2 linked regions of the Caenorhabditis elegans genome follow. The protein of the gene in region 2 interacts with the protein of the main gene of each other region in a biochemical or structural test. Each region holds a gene or a part of one and is shown on either strand. Other genes may lie near its edges. The genes, in order: ubq-2 and ubc-20.

What was found.
Region 1: of the proteins of ubc-20 (region 2) and ubq-2, one has a biochemical effect on the other in vitro, tested with the Caenorhabditis elegans proteins (one study listed by BioGRID).

Annotation. Positions count from the first base shown.
Region 1 is NC_003281.10:12,977,161-12,980,545, forward strand, and holds ubq-2 (Ubiquitin), read right to left. Parts: upstream 1,364-3,385; 5' UTR 1,362-1,363; coding exon 1,223-1,361; intron 1,146-1,222; coding exon 1,059-1,145; intron 1,010-1,058; coding exon 849-1,009; 3' UTR 803-848; downstream 1-802. Other genes in the region: ZK1010.2 (DUF155 domain-containing protein), read right to left, coding at 179-702; frg-1 (Protein FRG1 homolog), read left to right, coding at 2,015-2,082, 2,142-2,652, 2,707-2,952.
Region 2 is NC_003281.10:187,142-191,065, reverse strand, and holds ubc-20 (UBC core domain-containing protein), read right to left. Parts: upstream 2,229-3,924; 5' UTR 2,226-2,228; coding exon 2,106-2,225; intron 2,054-2,105; coding exon 1,958-2,053; intron 1,891-1,957; coding exon 1,808-1,890; intron 1,752-1,807; coding exon 1,625-1,751; intron 665-1,624; coding exon 491-664; 3' UTR 119-490; downstream 1-118. Other genes in the region: cox-17 (Cytochrome c oxidase copper chaperone), read right to left, coding at 1-69; mxl-2 (Max-like protein homolog 2), read left to right, coding at 2,942-3,133, 3,187-3,272, 3,651-3,816, 3,871-3,924.

The sequences.
Region 1 (3,385 bases), about 13 Mb from region 2:
TCTTTTTTTGAATGAAATGTTATCCAATTTGATTATCATAAGGTTGTGAGGCTAAAACTCAAATTTAAAAAAAAAGAAGTAAAAACCGTGCCACAGGGTTGCGAAATTACGCCCGCCTCTATTTCTGTGCGGCGCCGTTTTTTTTTTGCAAATTTGACGATTTCAAGAGAAAACGTACTGCTCTGAAAATTTATAGAACATTCTATCCTGCTCATCCATCACAATCATCGAGTCATATGGAGCATCTGCGTATCGTTCGAGCTCCCGTAGAATATGCGATCGCTGACTAGAATCAACGTTCCAAAAAACGACAACTCCATCTCGAAACACGAAAATTTCACTGAGTTCGCCTGGATTGATGGTATATTCCAGTTTTTTGACAAAGTGCAAGCTGTCATCCGCGTCCTCGTCGATTGCAGTTATATTATACATTCCATTGAGCTGTGCATCCATGATGACCTCATTGAGGTTCAGTGATTCTGAAAGTGCCATGGCGACGACTGAAGGTTCTCGTAGGGATTTTGGAACAACCGATGAAGCAACTGGGCGTCTCTTCTTCATCTTTCTAACTTGAACCCGTTCCAGATTAATTATCTCTTTGGGCTGGGTCTCGCTCCGCAGAAGTGCTGTGAATGAGAACTGGCGCCTGGCTGGACCCGGCTTTGTAGCTACTAGAGCTCCCCGAAGTATTGATTTGAGCATCTGTATTTTATAATGATTCTTTGTTACCATGTACAAATCTCATTCCAAAAATCCAATATTTACGAAATTTACGTTTTGCACAAATAGCGACATTCAATTAAAATTAACGATTTATTTGCCAACACATGGACTGGAACGAGTGAAGATTACTTCAGCTTCTTCTTGATGCGGAGCTCGCTGGAGTGTCCGCACTTCTTCTTTCTGCAGTTGCTGGCACGTGGTGGGAGACGAGCATAGCACTTTCTGCAGATCTGCTTGTCGCAGTTGTACTTCTGGGCGAGCTGACGGAGAGATGGCTCGATGATTCCTGAATTTAGAAATATTTCTCAATGCCTGAACATTAGAAAAAAACTAACCTCCACGAAGACGGAGCACCAAGTGGAGAGTAGACTCCTTTTGGATGTTGTAGTCGGAGAGAGTACGTCCATCCTCGAGTTGCTTTCCTGAAATTAGAAAATTATATTGGGTGTTTTGCCCGGAAATTAATTCAAGAATATATCAGGTCTGAATAATAACGTACCGGCGAAGATCAATCTTTGCTGATCTGGTGGGATTCCCTCCTTGTCTTGGATCTTGGCCTTGACATTCTCAATGGTATCGGAAGCCTCGACTTCGAGGGTAATAGTCTTACCCGTCAGAGTCTTGACGAAGATTTGCATGACTGAAATTATATAATTTGAAAAGAAACCGAGTAAAATTGTCAGAAAATGACGGCGAGAGCGAAACATTTGGAGGAGAGCGTAGGGGCAAAAATTATTGATTTTTCTTTAGAGACTAGTTTCAAAGGTGACAAAAGACGTTATAGACCGCATAATGTGTGTAACTACCCATTTAGAACAAAGAGGAAAGAATATTTTGCGTTAAAAAGCTGTAAAAATTCAAGAATAGAGAAATTATTTAGCAAAAAAATGAAATTTCATAATAAATTCGTTTTCCAAGCTTAAAATACAACAGAATCTCCACTTTCTATGCTGAACAAGCGTCCAGAACAATATTTTGATTAAATTGAACAGAAATTTGGAAAAATTTCGCAGAGAAACGGCGAAAATCGAGCAAAAAAACGGAAAAAATTTAGGCCCAGCGACACAAATGGAGGATTGCCGTGGTGATGGGTCTCGCCGCGAAATTGAGAGACGGCGAAAGTACGGTAGAGAGCTGCAGGATTTACGGGAAGGGGGAGAAGAATTCGAATATTATTTTTTTGTTTCAAACGTTTTTCGAACGTTTTTTTATTGATTTCTTCGAGTTTTGTTATGAAATTTACAGTTTTATTGATGAAAATTTTGTTTTTTATTGCAGAAAACTTCAAAAAATGCCAGGCGCTGACTACAGTGCTGTAAAAGGTGGTGGATTGAAATTAAAAGCCGGAAAAAAGAATTTGTAAGTGACATATTCAAGTTTAAAGTGTATAAAATCCTCCATTAATTCACTCGTTGCAGATTCAAAGTGGGAAAGGAGAAAAAGAAGAAGAACAAAGACGACAAGGAGAAAATCGATCCAGACACCGTCGAAAATGGTGGTTGGCGCAAAATTGCCGATGAATTCGATATGAAAGGAGGAACCAACGTCGCCATCGAAGTTGCCAGTGGAGCCGGCTCAACGCGAACTTATGTCGCTGCAATGGACAACGGAAAATTCACAATTGGATTTCCACATCCGGAGGGAGAAGGCCCGAATCCTGAGGAAATTTTCGCGCTCGTCAAAACTCCAGACGATAGTAAAATCAGTTTGAAGACAGGATTCGGAAGATATGTTGGAGTGGACAGCGAATATCAATTGGTTGCCATGGCTGAAGCTATTGGATCCCGCGAGCAATTCGTGTTGGTTTTCCAGGAGGGAAAAACCGCGTTCCAAGCCGTCTCCTCACCACTTTTCCTCTCTACAGTTCCAAATAAAGAGGGGCATATTTATGTGGCTAGTAGAACCGCTACGGAGAATGAAATGGTTAATGTAAGTGCTAATTTAGATATAAATAGATAAAATCCGATTAAATTCAATTTCCAGATCCGTACAGACGCTATACAAGAAGGCCCAGTCGATTGGAGATCTGTGGAAGACCGCAAAAACGCTCGGGAGTGTGAGACGGCCTACGTGAAGATGTATCAGCACTCGAAGGTTGATCTCAAGAACCGACATATTGCGATTGACGTGAAGGACAAGAAAGGAGTTAAGAAAGCGCAGGCCGACGGAAGTGCACACGAGCTGCTGCTGGACAGACGGATGAAAATGAAATCTGATCGATATTGTTAATAATCTTCACTTGTATTTGTTCTGTAAAATTCAATAAATTCTCTAATAATTATTCTTTTACTTTCTTTTTTTGTTTAAGGATGGAGTATCGTCAATGGGGAAATTGCTTTAAAATACTCTTATAAGAGCTCTTATAGGGCCACCAAAAATCTCAGTTTTCACTATTTGAATTACCGCCAATTAAGTTTGTTCGACGGGGCGCGCTTGCATTATTTTTAAAATTTAATCTTATTTATTCTCGTTATTTGACTGATTTCCTTTATTACTTGTGTATTTTTATTGGAAAAAGAGAGAAAAATGCAAGATAAATGAAAATTGTTCATTAAAACATCACTGAAAATGCGTAAAACTATAAAATTATGAGTTCCGACGACAACAAGTCTGAAATTAGCATTTTTCACACAAGTTTTACCAATTTTCAGTGATTTTTTAA
Region 2 (3,924 bases):
GCACGCTTTCAGCTTCTTCTCCGGTGCCACGCTGCCGGCTTCTGTGGATTTTTGTGGCTCTGCTGGCATTTTTTTGGGTGCTAAAATTATAGATTTTACAGATAAAAATGGAGTTTTAAAGATATTAAAAACGACATTCGCCAAAAATTTTCAGAAAATCGGATAAAAATTGCAGCTACAACTCCGTCAATATAATTCATGGAAAGAGTATCGTTGCAAAAAAAATGGGGGTCAAAGGGGGGAAATTTCAATGAATAATATCGATAATAAATAGGCAAAACACACACAAATCAGGCGGAAAATCTACTATTCTGATCGGTTTTTTTGGGGTGAGGATGGTACGAATTGGTAAAAAGAAATACCAGTGGTGCGGGGGGTTGGGGACGAAAATTTCTCGGAAAAAAATGGAAGAAATAAGGGATTTTTAGGACACAAACTTCAAGACAAGAGGCTCACAGAAAAAATTCAAAAAAATCGAATAAAAAAGAATTTAAGAGAAAATGTAGACCGTCGAGCGATTGATGTCCCAATTGTTGCAGCTGAGCACGCTGACAGCCTCTTCCTCACGGACTCCCATATCCTTGAGCTTGTCGACGAGAGCCTGGTATCCGGCGTTTTTCACGGCTCCCTTTGCGAATTTTGTCGTCCAGTACTCGGCGGTGGCCTGAAAAATGGTGGAAATTTAGTATATTAAGAGCATATTAGGCTATTATTCAGTTTATGTTGTCTATGTTTGTCTATTTTCTAGGCTACCTAAAGTTTTCAAGCGTGGAAATTGAGAAAATTCGAATGAAAACCAATTTTTTTTTTGAGATTTCTCGAGTTTTTACACTCACTGGAAACAACGAATTTTCGGGGAAATTCGAGTTTTTAGACTAAAAACAACTTCGCCAAATTTGTTGAGTTTTGGGTCTGCTAAACTTTTTTATAATTTCTTTTTGAAAAACAAATTTCGATATGAGCTGAAAAACTGATTTTTCTCGGCTTCTGGGACAAAAAGTGATGAATTTGAACGATTTCCTGGTTGAAAAACAAGAAAAAACCAGTAAATTCCGCGAAAAAAACTAAATTTAAAGGATAAATACGGGATTAGGGTCTGCTAAATATTTAGCAGACCATACTTGGGTCTGCTAATTATTTAGCAGACCATACTTGGGTCTGCTAATTATTTAGCAGACCATACTTGGGTCTGCTAAATATTTAGCAGACCATCGAAAACCACGTGGCGTTTCTACAAGCCTGCTAATTAGTTGGCAGACCCAAATTCTAAAGAAAATCGGCCAAATTCTGAAATTTCAGGGCAAAAATCAATAATTTTCCGAGAAAATCGTGCATTTCAGTGTAAAACAGTCAGAATTGTCTCCAAAATTCGGGAATTAACGAATTTTGCACGTTTCCCATCGAATTTTCTCAATTTTGACGCTTCAAAACTCGAGTTGGCCTGAAAAATGGGAAATTATAGATAATTTTTGGGGCAAAATACGCAAAAAAACACACAAAATAAGGGAAGATTTGGGTCTGCTAATTACTTAATTACTTAGCAGACCCATATTGATTTTTTAATCGGATTTCGCAATATTTTCCCCATTTTTCCGCGAATTTTCTGAATTTTCCACGCTGCTACCTTGAAAACTGCTGGCTTCTCCATGTATTGCTTGGCGACGACGGCATCTTGAGGATCCTTGGGCTCCGGTGTGCACATCAACGCCTGAATCGACAGGAGAACCGTGCGAAGAGTCAGCGAAGCGGCCCTGAAGTTGAAAATAAATTAAATTTTCCGATTTTAAAATAATAATCGCAATATTACCATTGATCCTTAAGAATATCGAGGCAAATGACGCCGGTCTGCGAGCTGACATTCGGGTGCCAGATTTTTGTGCTGAACTTGACCTGAAAAACCGCGATTTTTACACAAATTTCGACAATTTTCAAGCTTTCCAGGCAGAAAAACTCGTACATTTGGTGGCGAGAATGGATATTGGTCTGGAATCTTAATATCCAAATCGAACATTCCACCGGCGTATGGAGTGTCTGGTGGACCGCGGATGTGTCCCTGAAAACCGATAAAAATTGAGATTTCCGACACACAATTCGCGGCGTTTTACCTTGATTTCGGTGAGATTCTCGTTCAATATCTCGATCATAATTCCGGTTTCGCTGATTTCCGAGTTTGTGACGACCTCTTTGCATTCTCGTTGGAGTCTGTTGAATGCTATGTTCGACATGGTCTGAAAACGATGGAAAATAGTGGAAAAACTCTGAAAAATCGACGAAAATCATGAAGTTCAAGGAATTATCGAAAAAGCTTCGAGAAAGTCTGAAATTATCATCAAAATTATTCAAACACCAACTCATGATAAACAGGGCGCGCCGCGGAATTTCGGAGCATCGTTTGCAACTGAAATTTTTGTTTTTCCCCGAATTTCATCGATTTTTCATCGTTTTTCGTGAATAAAAATCAAAAATCATGTAGAAAAATGTTGAAAAACCAATTTTTATGCGAAAAATTGCTTAAATCACAGTAAAATTGAACAAAAACCCGGAAAAACCGGAGAAAACCGTGCGTTAAGTCGGAGCATCGTTGTCGCCGAGAAAAAACGGGTTCAAACGATCAAACCCGTGATCGGAAGTATCGATTCACAGATTGATTAAGTTTTTATAGGAATTTTAGTTTTTGCATCATGATTTTTCTCAAAAAAGAAAATTGAACGTTTTTGCCGAAATACTTCTAATTTTCTCAAGGTTTAGAGGGAATTTCCATTTGTTTATTGAGAAACCCGTTCAGAAAATATCTAGAATTGATTGAAATCTTCAAAAAAAATCTTGCCAGGGAACAATTAGGTCTGCTAATTAATCAGCAGACCCAAATTTCAAAAATCCGCGTTTTTCTTCGTTTTTTTCCCAATTACTCTACTGAAATTCTCTGTTTTTCAGCCCAAAAATGTCTCGAAGCCGTTCCGCAGCTGCCAGCTCCTCTCAAAAGCCGGACGATATGGACCTAATGTCGCCGGACGGCTCGGCGAGCTCCCCATCGGCCCCAAACACGCCAGCGACGAATTCCGGCGGATTTAGCTCGGATAGAAAGAAGGCGACGCACTTGAGGTGTGAACGGCAGCGAAGAGAAGCTATAAATGTTTGTTGAAGCTTGGAAATTCGTGGAAAAAAGCTAAAATTTCAACTTTTCAGAGCGGATACAGTGATTTAAAGGATTTAATTCCTCAGACAACGACTTCGCTGGGATGTAAAACTACAAACGCCGCGATTTTATTCAGGTACTGGCTGAAAATACTGAAAAATTGAAGGAAAAATAACTGGAAAACATAAAAATTTGGGTCTGCTAAATATTTAGCAGACCATAGTTGGGTCTGCTAAATAATTAGCAGACCATACTTGGGTCTGCTAAATAATTAGCAGACCATAGTTGGGTCTGCTAAATAATTAGCAGACCAACGTGGATTTAGCATACCCAAATTGCGAAATTATCGAATTTTGATGACAATTTCAAGTTTTTTACATTAAAAAGCACGATTTTTTTCAAGAATTTCGTGTTTTTCAGCGGGAAAAATCACAATTCCAGTCTGCTAAGCCCATTTTTTGCTTAAAAACCTTCAAAATTCTGCAAATTTCCCCGAAAATTCAATAATTTCCAGAGCCTGCGACTTCATGTCCCAACTGAAAACCGACATCTCCGACGCCGACAAGCAACTGGCCCAGCTCAACGCACAAGCGGCCGCACTGGAAATGATTGCCTCAGAGTACGAGCAGATGGCTTCTTCGGTTCCTGACGCCGGCCAGTCCACGATTCAAGTCAAAATGGTTAGAATTTACTGAAATTTCCAGATTTTTAAGTCGAAATTCTCCAACTTTCAGCTCCAACTTCTCCTCGACGACTGCTTCACCTCGTTCTCCTCCCAAGTGGACTTC